Linked DNA regions of Drosophila melanogaster. The protein of the gene in region 1 interacts with the protein of each later gene in a biochemical or structural test. Each region holds a gene or a part of one and is shown on either strand. Other genes may lie near its edges. The genes, in order: hppy and mats.

The links.
Region 2: of the proteins of hppy (region 1) and mats, one has a biochemical effect on the other in vitro, tested with the Drosophila melanogaster proteins (one study listed by BioGRID).

The regions. Positions count from the first base shown.
Region 1 is NT_033778.4:19,171,544-19,182,999, forward strand, and holds the start of hppy (happyhour), read left to right. Parts: upstream 1-7,194; 5' UTR 7,195-7,329; intron 7,330-7,955; 5' UTR 7,956-8,189; coding exon 8,190-8,315; intron 8,316-11,456. Other genes in the region: CG10737 (uncharacterized protein), read left to right, coding at 636-737, 802-981, 1,169-1,378, 1,889-2,100, 2,161-2,578, 2,796-2,822, 3,034-3,240, 3,339-3,765 and 4 more.
Region 2 is NT_033777.3:22,415,135-22,426,590, forward strand, and holds mats (mob as tumor suppressor), read left to right. Parts: upstream 1-6,026; 5' UTR 6,027-6,454; coding exon 6,455-6,468; intron 6,469-6,833; coding exon 6,834-7,000; intron 7,001-7,061; coding exon 7,062-7,540; 3' UTR 7,541-8,168; downstream 8,169-11,456. Other genes in the region: lqfR (liquid facets-Related), read left to right, coding at 1-2,176; Nop56, read right to left, coding at 4,104-5,188, 5,254-5,656, 5,820-5,822; pinta (prolonged depolarization afterpotential (PDA) is not apparent), read right to left, coding at 8,462-8,660, 8,718-8,947, 9,164-9,556; CG13847 (uncharacterized protein), read right to left, coding at 10,400-10,461, 10,570-11,456. UniProt on the Drosophila melanogaster protein: Coactivator of Warts (Wts) kinase in the Hippo/SWH (Sav/Wts/Hpo)signaling pathway, a signaling pathway that plays a pivotal role in organ size control and tumor suppression by restricting proliferation and promoting apoptosis.

The DNA.
Region 1 (11,456 bases):
TCAGCTGCTTCGGCTCCAGCTCTTTCCCCTTCGCCGTCCAACTGGCAAACTGGGAACTCGCTCAGCCGTAACTGATGTCAAAACGCGTTTTGTTTTCAGTTTTCTATACCGTGTAGTATTTAGCTCGACGAGTTGATAGTGATGATTTACAAAATTGTGACAAATGATGAAATCTGAGAAATACGCTTGTATCTGATTTTAAAAGGTGTAAAAATAAGGCTATCTTGAGTGGGTCACCTACGAACTTAGTTTGCATACGAAAGAAACAAGTTGATTGATTCATATTCATATGGCTTTTGTTATTAATCACAATTCGAGTTAGTTAATCTTAATATTTAATAACTTTATTCGGCTAGAGGGTATCGAAATGCCGAAATACATGATTTTGCCTCGCTTGCTTTCCTCCGATTTGCTTTTTTATCGCCTTTTACGTGATCGGAGCCAGTCCGTAGGCCAAGGTCGGAATTTAGTCGTTAGTCATTATCCCGTCTCTGAATTATAGCCCCAAAAAACGCACGCTGCTGAATTACGTAATTCGCGAATAAAACATTCAGCGATGGAAAGGAGCCCATCTGTTTGATTGCGTACAAGTGGTTAAATACATACGTACATATATTCTTCCTTCACTTTTGCAGCATGGAGTGGCCGTTGAAGTGGTTCGAGTGCTACCCGACAGTCCTGCCCCCGGATTGAATAATATATTTTGTAATTGCGATGAAAACAATCCCGCTGATATGGTAATTAAATCAATTTGCTTGTCAATTGGAACTTTAATCACTTGAGAATCGAATATCAACACAGCTCATCACCTTTGACTGCGATGCAATGCCGGTGTTGCAGGTGAAGACCTTCCGCCAAAAGTCGGGCAAGGTGGAGACCTCCCACTACAAGGTCACCGTGTCTAGGTTCCGCGCCCGTATGGCCATTCCCATGAACTACAACAGCCTCAAGGGTGAGATGCGAGTCGAGGGCTATCCGGATGTAAGTAACTTTTTGTAACAGCAAAAAGAAAATTTAAACAAATCATACAACTCATAAAAGTTTGATTAACATGAAAGTGAACTTAAAGTAGAGTTAATTTATGAGTTGTGTTACTGTTTCGACACAATTATAAACCAATACCAAGACCATATTCGATACTAACCGAAACATCACTCTTTTTCCAAAGGTTCGCATCGCGATGAACAGCGTGGGTGCCATCAAGGCAATGGATCAGGATGAACAGCAATTGCAGACGGTGATCAGCGACATCCTGACGACGGCTTTGCGCGACACCATCTATCCGGTGGACTTCTCCATTTACTCCACCTGTCCAAGGGCCGAAGTGGAGCCCCTGGACCTGCCCGTAATCTATCCCGTTCACTATGACTCGCTGGCGGTGAGCGTCGGGAGCAGTGAGAAGATGCCAGCTCCCGTATTTGTGGCAGTGTTGTGTTTATTGTTCTTTGTACTCCTGTGTCCTGGTACACTTGTCATCGCACACAGAACTCGACTTGAGACTATCTGTACAGTGTTGTCATCCAAGCAAAACAAACAGACACTTCTCATTGCTCCCGTCCTTCATTGTGTTTATGGAATTCGCCTTTCATCGCTCGTGTTTCCGTTGAGAATTCGTTTTGTTACCCCCTATGATCCCTGCTGATCCTTGAAAGTAAAAAGAACTATCTTTTGCGCTCTCTCTTTTCAGGGCAACCAATACTTTCAATATTATTACAATTTCTAGTGTCTGTCACGCATTAGTTCCTAATTAAAGGCGAATTTCATAAGCCCCTAATTCCGTCTTTTTATCGCTCTTCTCAGAATGAAGTACCTCTTCCCTGACTTCTATCTTTTCTCTGTCTCTCACTGCACTCACTCATCGCATGTTGTCCTCCTACAATTCACACAGCACAACATGGAGCAGCACATGGGTGGCGTGGGATTGAGGGATTCGCAACACATGGTTTCCGGCCGTCGGCTGCTGGTGAAGATCGTCAAGGGCGATGGAATAAGGGATGCCCAGAATCCCTACGTGGTCATCGAGATGGACGAGCCGGCCCAGAAGAATCAGACGGGTACTCAGCGCGGCGGCAAACCCTTCTGGGATGAGCACTTCCTCTTGTAAGTGCTCACTGATTTCATATTGGCCAGAAATAGTAATGTTTTTCTTCAATATTGTAGTGAACTCTCCCCTCAATCAGCTGAGATCCTGTTCGAGGTGTATGACCATCCGGTGATTGCCTCAGATCCGCCCAAGTTTCTGGGTCTCGGCCTGGTTGGAATCGATGAGCTGGCCGTTGGACCCGCATCCACTCAACTGTTGCAGCTGCAACCACGCCCCTATGAGACGCAGCCCGTTTCGGGAGCCATCACCGTGGACTTTGTGTTCATTGAGGGTGCCGAAATCCCGGCGGGCGCACGTCCACAGCGTCTCAAGGAGGCACTGCGTCTCAGCACACCGGCCATTAACGAACACATCCGAAATGGAGCAGATCTAGCGGATGCAGCCGTAAGAGCTCTGCAGGATGGAGCGCTCTCGAGCAGCGGAAGTGGCGGACAACCCAGCAAGAGCACTTTGATCATCCACAGTGTGCAGCGGGTGAGTGTGTATGGCTAAAATGGGTTCACGCTTGTTGTGGAAACACATTTCTTCGGGCAAAGATTCCGAGAATAAAATAACATCCGTGACACCCAATTTTCGTTAGAGGTTTCATACATTTCGTGCCCTCCTTTTCCGCATTGTACGGTTTTTATAATTTCCTTTTGTTTTTCTTTACCTTTATTTCATTTCATTTCCGTCTCTTGATCCCGCCCAGAATTCAAGCAGCCCGAATGCATTTAAGGTAAACACCCAGACCTGGTCATCATTACTTCAATCGTTCCTTTGAGTTATCTGAGTTACTGCGTCTCTAATCCCGCCCTCATGATGATGTTCAAGTCATGTAGGCTAGTTAGTATTTAAGCCAAGCTAATTTCAAAATGTTTCTCGTTCTGTTTGCTCTGCCTAACCCCCCCAAAAATGCGCTTCTTTAACCAAATCCTCGAACCAATCAGGTCGAGTTGAATAGAGATGGCCAAATCGAGGTGACCGATACGGCGACGGAATTGGATCAGGCAGTGGCTCAGGCATTCGAACGTGCCGCCAATGAGGCACAAACCGAACTTGAGCTGGAGCTGGCCAAGGAGGAGAAGTCCAGCCAGCTGGGTGAGCCTCTCATCGATTCAGGTAATGGCACCGTCAACGAGGAAAGCACCGCTGAGGTAAGTACACTGAGTTCACTAAGTTCACCGGCATGGCATGCAGTTAGAGTTGAAAGCTAGAGAAGATTCCGCATTAATAACCGTTGAATCACTTGCAGTTTGGCCAGCCCAATGCCGCCTCATCGCCCAATGGCAGTAGTTACCACAACAACTATAGCCTCAATGGCAATGGTAACTCGAATGGCGCCGGTTCGGGCGGATATAACAGTCTGCCACGAAACGGTGGTGCCCAGCAGCTGGCTCAGCAATCCGGATTATTGGAGGGCCATGACGTGGTCGATGATCGCGGGCGCAGCAAAAAACGTAATTTCTTTGGCACCCTGAAGAAGCGGCTCAGCCGCTCCAAGACACGCACCCTCTCGGCCGATCAACCTAATAATAACAGTCATAAGTCACTATCAGCCACCAACTCGAATACAACAACAGCCACCGGATTCCCTCGAACAGCCACCGGAACCCTCAATGGTGATTCTTCCCGTTCATTATCTGTCGATCGTGCCACTCTGTCCAAAAGCAATTCACTTGGTAATTACCATCTCAGTCACAGTCCTCCGCCAGTGTCCACGTTTTAACTATTTGAGCCCGGCTTAACGCACAATTTTTTTGGACAACTCCTGCATTCTGCTAATAACTCTGCGAAGGAATATCACTTCATATAGAACAACTATTAACTGCTTAGTGCATTGCAAAATCTTTTATGTCTAATACCTATCTTAAGTTGTTCATATTTTTGGCTCTCTAAAAAGCGTCCATTTTCATATGTAATTGGGACTTTCGCTTTATTATTCAGGCTTCAGCCTTATAAGTAGTAGTTATAAGCCATGATTCAAATCACAAAATCATTATTTTTCATACATCACATCTTATTTCATGAATAACTTTAGTACTAAGTGTAAATTGCTTTTCTCCCTTAAAGTTTAAGTACCCCAAGATATTGTACCATTCAAAGCTTGTAAATTAACTGTTTGGTAATCTGTATCTGTACTTGTATCTACATCTGTTGTCTGTTTTATCTTCTCTCCCTTAACACAATACCCATCAACTGCTAACTGAACTGTGATCCACAACACGAATCTGTATGTATTTCATGGTTCCGATACACGCACATGAAACACCTATTTCAACAAAAACTTAACACGGTTGAATATTTTTGGAATATTTTTTGTAAATATTTGGGTTTATTTTTGGAATTTGGCTTTTGAATTTTTCTTTTTATAATCTCTGATTCGATTTTGGTTGTGATTATTTCTCATACTCCTCTCCTATTCTTTTCTTTTGTTTATTTTCATATGTGCAAAATATGATTTGATGGGTCCTAACGGGTGCTTGGTTTGTGTGCCACTCTCAACTTGCCACATAAAAAAAAAACAAAAACAAACACACACTAAAATTAATAAAACGCAGGACCACGCATGGGCATTGGTCACTCCATCACCGACCACTCACGTCGCTCCTCAATTTCAGAATCCTCGGCCATCTCAGGCTTTTCCTCGGCTAGCAATAAAACCTACGTGCACGAGGCCTCCACCCTGGTGCTGGAGACCATCGAGAATGGCATAAAGCGGTGAGTTTCGATCGAGTGTTTGCATTTTATGGATTCTGATGGAACTGCTTCATGTGCATGATCTTTAGCCACTTCATTGTGCCTTTGGCCATCGCCCAGAGACCGCGCTGGCGTCGCAAGGGCACCAAGCTGCACATCTACAACGATCACACCTTCATCGCCAAGCATTTGAGCGGGTAAGTTTAAAGTAGTAAGCATTAGTTGCTTTGAATATAATTAACGAATCCTTTCACATTCCAGAAGCGGTCTGCAGTGCTCCATCTGTATGAAGTCCATCCCGCGGAGGCCCGGAAAGCAGGGCTACGAGTGTCGCGACTGCCAGCTGATTAGTCACAAGCAGTGCCACATACGGGCACCACAAGCATGTCCCAATCCCACGGTGCTCTCCATGGAACTGTAAGTGTACCTGAATCTCCGTCAGCTTTTCATCCTTTTCTCTGCCCGATTTTGATATTTGAGGGAATTACAAACTCCTAACCAATACCCAATACTAATTTATTGATTTCGTTTTATTTTTCTCTTTCCACACACACACACAACACAACACACGAATACGCACACCCACCCAATGAAACAAAAAATAAATAAAACAGAACGTCATTTCCGGTACTCACAGAGAGAGATATAAACCTAGTTAACTAAATCCTTATTTTGTGACCAATCCAACTATCTGAATACTTATTCTTTTGTAAACAACTTGAATCCGCCAAATGCAGTTTGATATTTACCAAGAGCAATTTTTGATTTACTCACTCCACTGAATTGGCGTCAGAAATGGAAAATTCGGCTTCGTTTTCCGGCTTCCGCTAGCATCCTCCCATACCCAATCGCACTGTCACCTCGCTTGGCCACGCTGTTTCATTATGTGTAATATAACTTCTGGGCACTAATTCGAGCTCTTTTTCTCATCGCATCCCTCACACGAAATACAACCAAACCACCCACACGGACACAGGATGGCCAGTGAGGAGTAGAAAGGTCTCAGCCACAGCACAGCATCTTTAAAGCCAGTTAAATACCATTCTTAAGTGCTATCCAAGCGATGTGCGAGTTCATTCTGACGCCATATATATACATATATATAGTTAAAAAAGAACCTACACAATCCTCCTTCGATTTGACCAAACAAAAAATAGAAAAAACTCCAGGGTTCTAGATCCGTTCTGCTGCAGTTTTGTGTGGTTCGCGCATTTTCCAGTTGACCCTTTGGCAGCTGGAAAATCGGGGTAAGCTGGCAACGCATTCGCATGAAATTCCTCGTTCTGCTCCACTGTGTTGTGTACTAAATTAACACTCTCGTTCGGTTTTGATCGCACTGCGATCCATACTAATGCAATTCCTTCTGAGGATTGTTCAGTTAATTCGTTCAGATTCGGCCTAATACTGTTTGAAGCTTGTTTTCCAATTGTTAACCATTGATATTGCACTTGTCTAGATATATCTAACGTTCGTTTTTCTCTTATTTTCACAGAACTAAACTCAATTCAGCGGCGGCAGATCGCAGCATACGGAAGCTGTGAATATGGGGAATACCCTGGAATCCAAGCCAGACAGCCCCAAGCCGAGAAACCTTAATCGAAATAATACCCTAGTTACATAGAAGTGAAGGAAGGAGCTGTGCTAACCATCTTCTTCTGCTATGGAACATCTCGATACATTTTACGTTATTTATTTATACACTCACGCGAACACACACATGTGCAATAAGTTCTTTGGATTCGTTTTTAACCCATTTCTCCGTGTCAACGTGCTCGAGCCCTTTGATATTTTGTATTTTCTACAAACACGAATAATAATTGTACAAAATAAAAGTGAATTAGGGTTTTTTTTTTAAATTAAACAACAAATTCGGTGAATCAATAAAGTTGTGATCACTAATAATACCGGATATTTTTCGGAAAGCAGTTGGCAGTAGTTTGCGTGTAGATATTAAACATTTCACTTGTTTCGAGTTTAGGATCCAATTGTTGTTGTTGGGAACGGCGGTCTGCACAAAGGAGTTTTCCCAGTTTGTGGCTGATTTAGGTCTTAGTAACGTAGGAAAGATTAAGGGGAAGTTCCTATAAAACATTGCTGATTGGCAATACAGTGACAAATCATTTGTATGACATTCTAATTAATAACTAAAGAAACATTGAAGTAGATTTGAGAGCTTTAACTAATGTATTCCTTTAACGCTGCTACTAAATGTACTTTCATGTGGATTCAATGATTCATTTTATTGAATTTCGAATGTCCTTCAGCAGTTTAAAAATTTCCCCTGTCTGGCCACCCCTTCTGGCCAACTAATATCGATATCTTCGAAACGACAGCCCGACAGAGTTGCCACCGCCGAACGACCAGCGCTGCTATCGATAGGCCCGCGGGCAGAGTGCCATCGCTAGCGAGGGGTGAGAGGAACAACAACATTTGTGGGCTGCGCGTTGACGAAGTGCATGTGAAATTTTTCGTGTTCGTAGGACAATTGTTAATTATCCACTGGCCGAATTTGCCCCGCAATCACGTGTCGGTGTAATATGTGAACGGTTTGTGGTGCTCACCTAGCGCTTAGCGAAAATCGGAATAAAATTATAAAAAAAAAATAATAAACGTAGTATTTACACCAGCAACAACAACACCACGAACGGGCGACAAAGCGACACGCCTCGCGTTGTTGTTTTTGTTGTCGCGTGTTTTTTTACTCGGCAGCACAGCAACTATTTATTTATTTAGGCAATTTCGCTGGCAAAAACAAAAGTGGCCTTCATAAATTCTAATAAAAAGTAATTAAAGTGCAAATGCATTGAGAAGCAAGGAAGAGGAGACGAGAAGATAAAGAATATATGCAGTGGAAGAGAGAGAGCGCGAACGAGAGAGGGGATTACAAAAAACGAGACATCGTTCACTTGCCCTCTCGCTCCCACCCCCGCGCTTTCTCCACCTTCTTCTCCACCCTGGCCTTTATCAAATTTGTTGTTGCTGCTTTATTTGCTGATTTTTGTTTTCATCGCTTTTTTTTTTATTCTGCGTCATAATTCGCGATTCTCTAGTTTCGTGTGTGTATCAATTCAATTCTCTGATCAGAATCTGATTCATATGAAATAAATGTATATGTTTAATACATAATATACAAAAGTCCAGTTAACCTTACGTAATTGTGTGTATTTCAAAGCGTCCAAAATGCATCTCGATCCACAAAAGTATCTAAATTTCGCCTGCTACGTGTGCTAATCAGTCAAACCCAAAAAACGAATAAAGCAGCGTCAAGAGTAAGAGTGTCAATCAAATATTAAGAGTATACCCACCCAGTAAAGAGAGGTCCAGCCAAAAGGACTCGATCGCCTCGAACCGAAAGCGGAAGCGGAAGCGGAAACGGCAACGGCATACGGATACGGAAGCTGCCAAGATGGCCGCCGCCCACAGTCACCACAATGCCAATATGCTCAGCTCGGACATCTCTCGCCGAAATCCGCAGGACGAGTACGAACTCATCCAAAAGATTGGCTCGGGAACCTACGGCGACGTCTATAAGGTGAGTCGAAATAGAAGCCTTTAGCTGTAGTACAAAGTGGTATTAGGAAGGGAAAGGCAAAAACTTCTAAATAAAAACAACAGCAAACAAAAGGCAAAGAAATTGCAAAGTGTGCTCTTTGGATTTAGAATGTTTCCCCAAAAATCCGTAAGTTTTTATAGTTTCCCTCACTGCAATTTTTGCATTCCGTCTGCACAGGAAAAAATTATCCAACAGTTCTCAAATTCGATTAATTCACTTTGAATTGTATCAGGAAGTTTTCTGTTCAATAAAGAGACATCACACATTATGTAACACTATTGCCTCATTGGATTGCAAAACCTAGGAATAATGTTCTTATTGGATAATTTTTGGACACATAATCAAGAATAAATTTTAAAGTTGAATGTGTTCCATATGGTAAAACTAGTTCTAGTCCGTTATGCATTTATAGAAAATGAATTTAGTTACATATCTCAATGTGGAGTATCATTATTGCTCACCACGCCACATAAATAATAAAATTGTATGTGCGTTAAAATGTAGAACGCATTAAATCATAAAGGAGGAATGTTTTTTTGCTCCAGTGCAAGAGTGCATGTACCCCCTCGATCTCCCCACCGCCACCCACTTGCAGACCCTCATTTGTACATCTGTTTGCCACAGCATGTTTCTCATTCCTTCACTACCCCCACCCCCCCTTCACTCCACATCCCTTTCAGCACCCCCTTCCCCCAAACCCCTCGCCCCGCCACAAACAAAAATATGCGCAATTTTAGTTTTCCATCTTCTTCTCTGTTGGATCGTTCTTTTTATACCATCCAACTTCCATGTTTACTCTTGCTGCCCGTCGAAGGGAAGTATGACAAATGCCCCGAAACGCCAGAGAAGTTGCCCTTGGGCGGGGGGGCGTGGCACGTTGCAATTGTTGTTGCCAGGGGCGGGATTATATGGGAATATATCGGGGGAGATATTATGGTATTTCTCATGTGCAGACCAAGGGTTAAGTTCCTCATTTTCCATATGGAATGCCTTTGAATTCGAGGGATTTCCCCAATTCGATTTATTGCATTCTAGTTGGCAACCCAAAATCTATAAATCATCAGCTTTTCGAACGTTTTCCATTCGATTAATTTTGACGAAATTGAAATTGATTAAATTTCACATTGCTCATAAAAGATGGGAATTCAATTAGTTTGTGCACTTTTGAAATTCGATATTAAGTATATCGTAATTTATAGATTTTAATTTGTAGAAAATGAGAGAATTGTTAATTAATTTGCTTTGGCATATTGATAACTTGGTTTGACAGCGCACAATGAAATCAATATGTCTATAATGTGCACCACAATTCTGCACGACATTTGAATGGTTTTTGACTCGCTTAATTTGAATGCTTAGGTTTTAAACAATATGTGCAGTTTTTTGGTTGGCTTTTGTTAATAACGTTTTATGTTGACTAAAGTCTTGTTTTTCTGTAAACTCAGGCAATCATTATTAGTCATCAAAGCGTAAGACTGTTGAGATTATGCTTATTCTTGCTCATCAGACTGATATTGGGACTTGATTCATTTTGCCTCACTTCAATTTATTCGATAAGCAGCCACGCGCTTGCATTGATTATTCGGATTAGTTTCGAATGTGTTATTTATTTATTTATTTATGTTTGCCCACATCTGGTTTTGTGGCCCTCTACTCATTTTGCCATCTGATTGTGTCTCGTTTTTGTTTTTTAGAGCCCGTTCCGTTCTGCTTTCTGTATCTTTTCTCCATGTTCCATCCATGAGATGCGTCATGCCATGAGTCCAAAGCCCATGGTTTCGGTTTCAATCCACCATGCAATTTACACTCTTTCGTTCCCCCTGCTTTTTACTTCGGTTTTTTTTTTATTTATTTTCACACCGAGGTATTTGGTTGTCAAGGGAATTTATGATGCCACACATCTAGAAAGGAGACGATGGCATTTCGATTCTGTTTACACAAGCGACAAGTTCGCCAAATGAAAACAATCGGTTTTGGGGATAATTTGCAGTTTGGTTTTCCGCATAAGTTTTTGGCTAAACCATTATTACACATCGAGCACTTGAAGTGCAGGGCAATCGAAAAGCTCGCTTTTCCTCTCATTTTTTTCGCAACTCGTTTCGCGATATCAATTTACAATAGAAATAATAACAGCGAAATGAACAACAATGCGCCCTGTTGACAGGCTATTACGAATGGAATTGGGTTTCTACTGCTCCAATTTGTTTGCTCCACCTCCTCCCATATGCCACACCCCCTTCTAACCCCACAACACACTCATTGATTCTTATTAGTGGCACAATGATCCAAAAATTTAGTGCAACGCCGCAAATAAATGTTCAGCTGGAGAAAATGGGTGGAGCTTTAAAAATTTATGTGATTCAGTCTTGCTGGACTGTTGACATGCAAATTTAGATGTTCAATTTAACGAATGCAGATGATAAATGAAATGTACATATTTATATTTTCAGTGAGATTTAAAGACTAAAGTATAATTTTTTGACTAGTGACTCAGTTTAATATTACGTGCTTGTTTCGAGTTTATTTAACTGTGCTCTTTTTTTTTCCATATTTCACCCTTATTCAATATTCTTAAAAAATATTTATTTTAACTTCTAGTTATTTTATGCATGTTTATATATGCACTATATAAAAAGTTATTGCAATGTTTTTAATTTGTACGAGTATTCCTCTGGAGAAAAACTTGGAGTATAAATGGCACCTGACATGGCGGGTGGGAAAACTCAAGACGGGAAAAACTTTGACTCAAGAGGAAGGTGCTGCTGTTGCACCGGGTTTTCATTACCGGAAATTCGAGAGCGAAACGCAAGTGGGTAAAAGAAAATAACAGAAATATGAAAATAGTGAACTCTGTGCTTTTCACGGAGCACAAAAGGAAAAGTGCCAGGTTACCTAGCGTTATGCAATGAAAACTGGCACAAATACTAGTGCATAGGCGCATACATATTTTATGCGTGTGCTTTCGTTTGTGTGTGTGTGTGATTGCCTTTGCCAGGCACTTGACTTCGCCATCCATTGTAGTTGTTGTTGCCACACTTTAACAATCATCCTCGTCATTGTTGTTGCTGCTGGCTCTTTATTTTGTTTTTGCCCTGTTGTTGTTATTGTTGTGCACGCAAC
Region 2 (11,456 bases), on another chromosome or scaffold:
AGCGTTCTTTCAATTGCTAATCAGTCTGCCAGCCCAGGTGGCCAATCGACTGGGTAGAAGACTGCCAGAGACGTTTGCTCCAGTTTCTTATCAGAAACTCCTGCTGCGCCAGTGGCTGAAATCCTTGCACTTTGTCCTACAGTGCGATGATAATAGGGAATACTTTGATTTGGAACCGTACTCCTGGCTTTTGTCACAGGCTATTAACCTTATTTACGATGTTTCAACTTTGGAAAGCCTCCTACGAGTACTTAAGGACTACGCGGTGGCTCCCAGAGGAAGAAAAGTAGTTCATACCATATTAAAAGAATTGGATCCCGCTGCTTGCCTAAAAACAGCACAATCGGCTCTTTCTGCGGGATTGAACCTGTACGTTCTTATAGGTGCTGCCACTTTGGAGACACCTCATTGGAAGCATTGCCTGCTCCAGAAGTTGCCTCTTCAACGCACACCCGTGGATAATAAGCAGCTTATAACATTGGCCAGTTATCTTAACGCCGTAGCTCCTGCTCAACTGCAGGTTCTTTTGAATCAGTTGCTTGGAATCTGGTCGAAGCGCATTTCCTTGCAGAAACTGGGCAGCCAAGAGCACTTGGCTATATCCAAATTGCTTGTGTTGGCGGCAAAATGCCTTTGTGGGAATCTTGTAATGGATTTGAACATCCAGCGTCAGCTCCACGATGGACTCAGCAACCATTTGCAGTCCCCAGATGCACTGCAGCGTCATGTGGGAATGAAGACCGTGGAGCTAATTTTCAATTTTATTGCCTTGCCTGATGCGAAGGAGGATGATCGTCTACGATTTGAGTACGATTCATTTAAGGATACATTTCATTGGCACATCTTCGAAGAGTTTGATGAACTTGGCCAGTTTGAAAGCCCGAGCAAAACTAAGCTAGATGAGAAGCCTTGTGAGGATCAGCTGAAACAATTAGAACTTCATCTCAGTGACTTTATGAGTACTACAGAGCAGAAAGAGCCGCATAAGCCGAATATTGAAATACAAGCGAATCCCGCTCCCGAAAATCAGAATGTAAACATGCAGCTGGACTCGGATGACGACGAGCCACTGGATGAAGACGACGATGAATTGAAACCCTATGACATGTCCAACGATACAACCACCACCATTGATCAACGTCCCAAATTCGTCATCGACTTACTGCACTTGCTCCGAGAAAAGGTGGAGAATTATCAGGTGTTCGAAGGAGCCTTGGGCACAGCGGAGCAACTTATACGGGGTCAGCTGGCCAAACATGATACTCAGTTGGCCTTGGATCTGCTACAACTTTTCTTGGTCATGGAAATGCAGTTCTACTATGAGCAATTCGAACGTACGCAATTTAAGTGTTGCGTGGCCATTTGTGTGGCTCATCCTGGTCCCTGTGCCGAGTACCTATGCCGCCAGTTCCACACGGATAACTCCTTCTATTCGGCCAGTGTCCGTATTCTGATCCTTCAGGTACTGGCAGCAACGGCGAAAGAACTTTCTGGCGATGAAAACATGCAGAATGAGATGGAAATTGTGGATGTTATACCACCGGCAGCCAAGCATCCCCGAAAGTTCGAATTTCAACAGGAGGAGGAGAGTCCGGCCGCTCGTCTGGCCGCTGCGCAAAGGATCATCCGCGACCGGCTGCGGGCCAAGACGAAGAGATATTTCAGCAAGCCCAAAGCTGGAGATCAAATGGAGAAGGCCAACCCATTTCACCCCGTTGCCGGTACATTTTTCTTCAGTTTGGTGAGGGGACAGCGCACCCGTCAGATGCTTTACGTAAAATACGAAAATATTTCTCACGACATCGACACCCAGTTGCTTGTTAACCTGCTAAACACCATGTCCGTGTTGGTTATGTGCTCCCAGAACTGTCCACTGTTGCCAGCGATGACCCGCGAGATCTTTGACCTATGCGCCTTTGTGCGTTTCAATGCCGAGGCCCGCGTCCGAGCGGCCACATTGCAGCTAATAGGAATCGCCTTGGTAACCACACCAGCTCATGTGCTGGCCCAGCACTTTGCGGAGTCATTGAACGAACTGCAGCGCTGGCTGAATGACTTCATAAGATCGCCATTGGTGGGCGGAGAGACTTCGGAGGAGTGTCGTGAACTGGCCCAAAGCATTTTGGACACCTGCTACAAACTCTTTGATACAGCCGCCATGGAACAGGCTGCCTAACTTGGCCATCAAAAAGTTTTGAAAGCAGCCTATAGAGTTTTAAGAGATTTAAAATATTAAAACTGTATTTAAAATACACTAAGCATATTTCTTGTTACGGAAAAACGAACAATTTTTTACTGAAATATTTCCGAATTAATATATGATATATATGATTAAATACAAGATTACTTCATACTTTACATCAATTCTCATACAAACGTTAACGCTGTGTCCTTAAACATTTTCTTATAATTGTATAAACTAATAATAGACTCGAGAGTTAGGTATTTGCTAGAAATAAGACAACAGTTCTAGGAATTATTTTTTAAATATCTATCGCCCTCGAAGCCATTGTATTCCAGGTATACATATATGGATTTACTTCATTTATACTACTTTCTTTTGTTTATTTGTTTTTCTCCTACTGCATATTTGTATTGCAAACCACACACACATTGGATCCAATATTATTTCTCAAATATATACATACATATGTACTTAATAATGATGAATTGAAAAGCATTTCTCAATATTCCGGGCATTGTGCGGCCTCCGCAGCCACGGACTCATTAGGTAAACCAATCCAAAACGGCAATAGCCACATAACAGATACGAACCTATTCTTTCCTTCTGTAATTGCACTTGATTTGCTGCGCAAACGCTTCCGAGTAGTGACCACCTCATTAGCCGATCACCAAGTAGCCGCATTCGCAATTCTATCGAAGCCACATATTTAAAACAGCTTTTTGTGAAACCAAAATAAAAACGAAAACTGAAACCCCGAATAACATTATTATTGCATTTGTTTTTTTCCAGACAATATGATGCCTCCCATTCCCGCCGTCACGGGCAATAATCTGCTCCAGCCCATGTCGGTGACCAATAATAACAATAATACCAACGGAGGCGCAGTCCCCGCCGCTGCCAGTGTCCAGTCTACCGCTGTGGGCGCCACCTGGTCGGGCGACCTGAAGGGCGGCAAGATGAACATTGACCTGGACAATCTGCTGATGAGCAAGTCGGGCAAGCCCAGTGCCCCGGCCCCTTCGATGAATGCCCTGAAGACCAACAGTCCGGCAAAGGCGCCACTGAATGTGCAGACGGGTGGCGGATTCCCTGGACTGTCGCCAATGACCAGTCCGAACATTTTTGGGGCTCCGGCACCGCAGCAAAGCATTCCACAAAACCAATCAGCATTTGCCAACTTTGGAGCTTTCCAGCAGCAGCAGCAGAATCACAGCAATAATAACAATAATAGCTCGTCGGCATTCGACTTGTTTCAATGATATTTTTTAGCCTAATTTAACCCAACCAACCTACTACCCAAAATGTCCACTCTCACATTCACATTTCCACGATCGCTAAACTTGTCAGTTCTATATATTATTTACGTTTTCCTTTCCCCTTGCTGTACAAAGTTTGCGACACGTGCAATTTGTTTCTAAATTCGTTGTTAAACAATTTACCCCCGATGCAATTTTCCGGATCAAACCCATTAATTCCACATCCGTCCTGATCGTCCACTCGGAATTTGAAAGTCGTCATCAAATGCAATACACAGAGTAGTTGAATAATGGTTGTACTAAACGGATTCGTTAGCACAACGCGCGGACGGACGGCTGAGCGATCCAACATTGAAATTGTTAAACAAAATACTACACGTAATAAAATCAAACAATTTTAGCAATAGTTAACGTTACGATGTGTCTGTATATAAATTGAATGTAAAGCAAATATGAAATATAAAACAATTGAAACCAATAATTATGATAGTCTCTTGATTTAAAACGCAAACTCATAAAATTCCGGTGGGAATACCCTCCAAAGTATATGTTTATTATTATTTGAAATGCGATCCATCAGGGGGTCAAAGGAAATACAAAAGAAGCATGTAAGTAAAAGATAATAGTGTGGACTTAAACTAAGTTGAATGTAACAGAGACATTTACGCCTCCACCGCTTCCTTGTTTTTGTTCTTCTTTTTCTTCTTCTTCTTTGGCTCTCCATCATCGTTGCCATTGCCATTTTCCGCCTCGGCGGCTGCTCCGTTTCCATTACTGGCGCCATTCGTCTCGCCCTCGTCTTCAGCCGCTCGCTTCTTCTTTTTCTTCTTTTTCTCGGACTGTACAGTGATTGCCGCCTCTTGACCAGCTGCCTCGATGGCCTCCTTCATTACCTCAATGTTCTTGCGCGGCACATCGCCGGACTCGTAGAACTTGAGGCGATCTTCGACCTGTTGCTTAAGAGTTTCGCCAAACACGCTAGTCGGCTGTTCCAGGAAGCAATCGATACGCGACGCGATGGAGCACTTGTTGGCCAGGAATCGAGAGATGCGACCCTTGTTCTTCAGGCCAGCTCGACCAATGAACGAGGAGTGATAGATAAGACCATACTTGGGCGTATTGGAGCGGGTCTTTAGAGCACGGAAGAGCGCCTTCTCGGCACCCAGGATTTGTACTGTAGATGCTGGGTACTTGGCCAGATTAGTCAAGCTGCCGGCATGCGATATCAGGCGGGCACCGACCTGGTCGCCAATCAAAGACTGCAGATTGGGTGCCACCAAGTTCATCTTGTTGTGCAAGTAGGTAGACAGTTTCTTTCGGTACTCGGAAAGCTTGACAACGCGCTCTGCGAACAGCTCAATGTTCATCAGATCAACAATGGAGATGTCCATGCCCATGGACATCTTGGCGGCATCAATGATAGCCTGAGCCTTGGCGGAGTCCATGACGATCTTCTCAAGATCCTCCAGCTGGTCTTGCGTGAGGTTCTTGCGATCCTTGATGAACTTGGCCGCCTTGGCGAACATGTAATTGTCGGGAACGATTTTGACCAGTTCTGGGAAGTGATACGAGTACCACTCGCGTATCCGCATAGAGAAGGTATTTACGTCCTTATCCAACTGATCCAGCAAAGCAATCGACTGGATGATCATGTTGTCGGAACGATGAACATTGAACTTGACCTTGGCACGCGAGTAGCTGTGGCCCAGACCCAGCTGAGCAACGCCAGCGGACTTGTCGGTGAATCCTGCATCGGATGGAGGAGGCTTTAGTTAGACAAAGAGGATTTTCCTTGCAAAGCAGGTAGCTTACCCTTGACCAGCTTAGCGAAGTGGAATCGCACGCCGCGCAGAATCTCAGGAACCACTCCAAAGTGACTGCACTGGACGCCAATGGCCTCGGTGATTGCAGCTCCCAGCTTGGCATCCGCAATACCCAGGGTGCACTTCTTCTTCTTCAGCTTGGCAAAGAAGTCATCCAAGAAGGAGAGCAGATCCTGCGGCACTATGCCCTCGGATATGGCATTGATGTTTTCCAGTGCGGCAATGGCCGTCTTGAAAGGTGCAAATCCAGCCAGCTTAACAATTGAGTTGAACTTGGCGAGGTCCGTCACCGAGGACTCCACCTGGGGCAGGAACATGGACACCTCTTCGAACTCCTTGACGGAGAAGAGCGAGAAGCCCGCCGCATGCTCGTACAGCACATACAGGTTCGACTGGAGGCGGGGAAATGAAAAATTATCAGTCTGATGCGGTGGCAGACACATGTGGTTTTGGGTGCTCCGCGTGTGTAGGTTAGTTTTCGCAGGGAAAACATTTTCATTTCACGGGCAACCCGCAGAAAATTCAAATATATGATTATTGCACTGAAATATTTACCATGTCTATGCCGAATATATGCCGATTTAATTAAGAAATATATATTTTTATACACCCACGATGCTGCTACAGTTGTTTTCCCACGTGCTTACTTCAAGTGTGACCATAGCAAGCCGATTGCGAAATGTTAGGGACATACCAGATAAAATACCGCAGTACCGTACTGAATTATTTTAACAGGCTGGCCACGTTGATAGCCTGATAACCTGTCGCGTTGTCCCTCTCGCACTTTCATCAACTGTCTCTGTGTGTGAAAGCAATTTTATTTTTATTTATAACAAATTTTTTGCGTTTATAAACACAACAGAATTAACTAGTTGGCTCGGCACACTTCCTGGAACCGCTCGCATCAGCTGTTGGGCTACGGCACTAGTTAACAGACCGACCAACTGGAGGCCAGATACAGATACCATCATTGTCATTTCCCAATTGACCAGAGAAAGAAACCTGCTGCGAATTCCAGTCACTTTTCTTTAATTATTATTCGGCGCTAATTGTGTAAAAATCGGCGGAATAAAGCTGCTGACACGACACAGAAGAGCCGAAAAAGCGGTGTGGCACTCGCCGGAAAAGTCTACGCATAGGAAAATTCCATTGGAGGCTCAGTGAAAGGCGAAGCACAGCAATTGCATGCCATGGACTTCTTGTTGTAAGTTCTCAGGGGGGCAAAACGTAGTGCAACTGCAATCCTTTCGAGCACAAAGAAAGCTTGGATCACCCCGCCCCACATCTGACTTTCCGGCTTTGTTTGCCCTTTTTGGGGTGATATCCCCAACCTCTTGTACAGTGGAACTTCCCTAATTTTGTCTGCGGTGTTTAAAAAATAGCTTTTCAAAGATATCTTGCATTCTTCCTCAGTGAATTTAAAAAAAGAAAAAAAAAGGAAATATTTCTTTTAGGGAGTGTAAATTGAACGAAGTCGCTTACGTTTCAATCTATAGAATCTTTACTGTATTATGTTTTACTGAGTGGGGCTGTTTGGGGCCGCGACTTATTGCCTTTCTCTTTCCACAGCGGTTCCCGTTCCAGCAAGACCTTCAAGCCCAAGAAGAACATCCCGGAAGGCACACACCAATATGATCTCATGAAGCATGCGGCAGCCACGCTGGGATCGGGAAACCTGCGCAATGCAGTGGCCCTTCCAGATGGCGAGGATCTCAACGAGTGGGTGGCCGTTAACAGTGAGTCTAGTATAGTGTAACTAGCGAAAGATAACCAATTCTTATTGCCACTCCTTCGCAGCCGTGGACTTTTTCAACCAGATCAACATGCTGTACGGCACCATCACCGAGTTCTGCACCGAGGAGACCTGTGGCATCATGTCGGCTGGTCCGAAATACGAGTACCACTGGGCCGACGGTTTGACCGTAAAGAAGCCCATCAAGTGCAGCGCGCCCAAGTATATTGACTATCTGATGACTTGGGTGCAGGATCAGCTGGACGACGAGACCCTGTTTCCCTCCAAGATCGGCGTGCCGTTTCCAAAGAACTTTCACTCCTCCGCCAAGACCATACTGAAGCGTCTGTTCCGCGTGTATGCGCACATCTACCACCAGCACTTCACAGAGGTGGTGACGCTTGGCGAGGAGGCCCATCTCAACACGTCCTTCAAGCACTTCATCTTCTTCGTGCAGGAGTTCAATCTGATTGAGCGGCGCGAACTGGCCCCGCTGCAGGAGCTCATCGACAAGCTGACGGCTAAGGATGAGCGGCAGATATAGGAATCACTGCATGGAGCCGCGAATTTTCGCGATTCCGGCGGCGGTGGTGGTGGTCTGCGCTTGCAGTTGGACTTGTGATGAAAGCGCTCTGGCAGACTCGTGTATTACGCTTTAGTTAGTTACCGCCAATACTTTTATGTTTCGTTCATTGCTTCATGGGGTGCCTCCCACTAAACAAAAGAAAACAAAAAACCGCCAATTGGCAATGTGAACCGAACTATAGCGGGCTAATTGCTGATCCAGAGCAACTACTATATTTTTATATGTGAAACGTAAAAACGTATAAATCATATTTATATGTATATGTAAAGGAGAAAACAAAAGCAGCAAAAGCAACAGCACGCCTTTTATAACTAACACCTCCCGCTTTCGAGAAACAACAAATATTACGTTCACAAACTATGCGTGTTTCCTTGTTTATCGTTTTTCTTTCTGTATGTATTCTATGTATTTATTACTATTAAACTATCGCTAATTGCTCGCGGTTCAGCGGATCAAGCGATTTTGTAATGCAAACCCCAGCAATTTGAGGCGACGGTCGGCAGCACCCAATAACTGATAATAATTGTAGACTTGATAAACATTTTTGATACGTTTTATACTAATAAAGAGAATATTATGAATAAACTCGTCTCTTTTTTGTTTGGTTTATCGTGTATTGACACTTTATTAAGCAAAAAAAAAAAGATAACATTGATGATTAACACAACGAAAATAACCTTTTTTAAAAAGGTTTAACGTAATGACTTATAATATATACAAATATGGTTAAGTGGGGAATTAGGGAGTATTTGTAGTACCCTTCCATAAAATATGACAACTGATATGCGCCTTTGTGCATTTGCGCATTGTAAATGTTTTCGACTAATCTATAACATTCGGCTAATCGCCTTGTTATCACTGCCGCCACACTAACCCCAATCACTTGAGCTTGCTTTTGTATTTGTCTTGTTCCACATAGAAATCGGCGTTCTCCTCGACCAACTGCTTCCACTTCACAGACAGCTCCATATAGCTTAATCCCTGACCACCGAGTTCCTTTGGCAACTGATCGCAGCTCACGGATGTTCCTTCACGACGCACGAAAAGTCGCGATCTTATCTTGGGCGTCATGAATATTCTAAAAAAAATGATAATATATAGTAAATTCTAATTTGACTTAGAACATACAACCCACCTAAAGGTGTTCAAAAAGAAGTTCACATGGCGCGGGGCGTTGGTGAATTCCAATAGCTTGGGCTGACATGGATATGCGGTCCAGCTTTCCACGGATCTCTTGATGAGCTTCGGATTCATTTGAAGAGCGTGCCCCAGTTGAACGCCCTGCATATCCAGAATAGCCACCATTCCGCGGGCACAGGTCTCCGGATCGAGCTTTAGCAGCAGGTCCAATATCATTTTGCTGGTCTGGGAAACAAAGGTTGGAGATATAAGTATATGGAGGAAAAAATGTGGACGAAACTTATCGTATTTCATATTATTAAAATGTTAAGTTATTTTTTATTAAAGCACGAAAAGTTCGCCTTCATGACTATGTTTAATTTGTTAGCTACATATAGTTTAAGACATTTCATAAAATCGTTGTATTTTATTTTTTCCTGTGTACATATTTCCATGACTCACTTTAAAAACATTGTTCTGGCTGTGGAGCTTGGGATCGTGTGCTGCTGTGCGTATGACCACCACCATCCTTTGTTCGGCATCCGGACCGATGGGTAGGAAGACGCCCAGCTTGAGTAGGTCCTGGATCTCGGGCAATTGGGGATCGCGATTATCGAACCATTCGGTGCGCTCCGCCCGCATTTGGTAGAACGTTTTCAGTTTCTTTTTGGCCCGTTCCACATCGAACTTGGAGGTGCGGAGGAAGAAGTGCAGGTTCTCGAAGGTGTTGCATCCGTTGATCTGCGGATTGGCGACGAGCCAGTCGCTGAGATCCTGGACCTGCGCCAAAACCCTTTCGGGGTCACCATCGGTGGTGGCCACTTGTCTTTTGGAACTGCTGCTGCGCGACCACATGGCGCTCCTTTGGCGGTAACGACTGTCGGCGAACTAAAGCAATTGTTTATAAACAAATTGCGACATTCACTCGCCAAATGAAATAAGCTTTTCAAGCTTTTACGCGTACTCAGCGTTTTTTTTAATCGCTCGTCTCGTCGGCATTTCGCATAGGCAAATCGCATTCTAAAATTACATAAGTGCTGATCCGTTGCAAGCTTAATTGTTGCGTTTTGGCTCAATTGGATTAATTTAATTCGAATTGATTGGTGAGAAAAGCTGACTTTGTCACATTGTATTTTAAATTTGCCGATTTCGATTGACGCCGATGCACGCATGTTAGGGATGGGAGAATTCGAATACGTTTACAGACTCTGTTAATGCGCTGTTAACATAAACACTGTACCGGTTTTCTGGTCGTAATACTTCGTAGTTTTCAAAAATTATAACCCAAAAGATAAGTACCATGATGGTAAGTGGTTCATCAGAAATCTTTATTTTTATGTTATCATTATGAAAATATATCTAAAAACAAGCTGCTGTTGTACTTTAAGATAAACTTTATTCACATAGAAAATAAATAATTGTTACATTTCAACACATTGCTTTACCATAATTCTCATATCCTCCGCATTACTCATCCTGCTCATTTTTATATGTTTTTCTTAGGTCGATGCTTACGCTTTAAAATAGATTGTATATTTACAAAGATGTTGTACGCAAAACTTAAGTCAACGTGTAGGGCGGTAGATACTTGTTTCTGGGTAAAAAGGACTCAGAGGAGCAGGAGGTGTTTGGAGTTCGTGCTGGTTGTGGAGCGGGATGGTGGTGCTGGTTGGTGGTGCTTTTTGGTGGTGCAAGTGCTCAAAAGGCCCCGTTGAAGTGCAGGTTTTGTGAGGCGAACTGCGGTATCCCATGGTTGAGAGCTAAAACTTTACTGATTACTTTCAATTCGTCAAGATTTCTTAAGCTGCTAAATTGACTAAGATGATTGCCACTGGGGCCACTCGGTCTGCTCTTATAGTGTGCATTACCTGGACTAATGTCGCCGCTGGCTTTTGGCTGCTGCAACTGTTGCTGCTGCTGCTGCTGCTGCTGCAGATATTGCTGCGCGTTTTGCTGCAACTGGTTGCTCAACTGTGGCGTCAAGTGCTGCCTGTAGAAGTTCTGGTTCTCCAGACTGGGATTGGAATTGAGGCCAGGCTGCTGGCTAACAATCGTGGTGGCGAAGGAGTTGCTCGGCTGAATCTCCACATTGGAATTCAAACCGAAGTTACCTACTCCCGTCTCCTGGCGGAATTGCCGCGCCCTTTGCTGCTGCTGTTGCTGATGTTGTTGCTGCTGCTGCTGGAACACCGCATTGCTGACGTAGTTGGGCAGCAGCAACTGTTGCTGCTGCTGCTGTTGAAATGGCTTGTAATTGTTATGGGGCAAGGCCTGTAGTTGCGACGCCTCGGCCGGTGCAAAGTTGAACTGATTGGAGGGCTGAACCTGGGGGCTTTCGTTCGATTTCTGTAGAGATTGCTGCAAATTTTGGAAAATCTGCTGCACTGCATTCGCTGGCGGCTTCTGATAGTTATTCGCGTTTATGTTGCCATTGTGCAGGGCGAATTTATGACCCGAAACGGCATCGCGCAGCGGCAATTGCTGCTCAATTGGATATGTGGGATAAATAACAGTCTTGGTATGTGTGCTGGGTATAAATTCGACCGAAGGTCTTATGGAGTAACCCGCGCCCAAAGTGGGCGGTTGCAGACCCGTCTGAATGGCCTCCAGCGGACCATGTTGCTGCTGTACTTGCGGCAGTTGCTGCTGTACTTGCGGCAGTTGCTGCTGCTGTTGTTGCTGCTGTGGCTGCAATGTGCTGGGTTGGGCAATCGGTGAGCCCTGGAAACGGCTTTGGGTCTGCTCCTCTAACAGC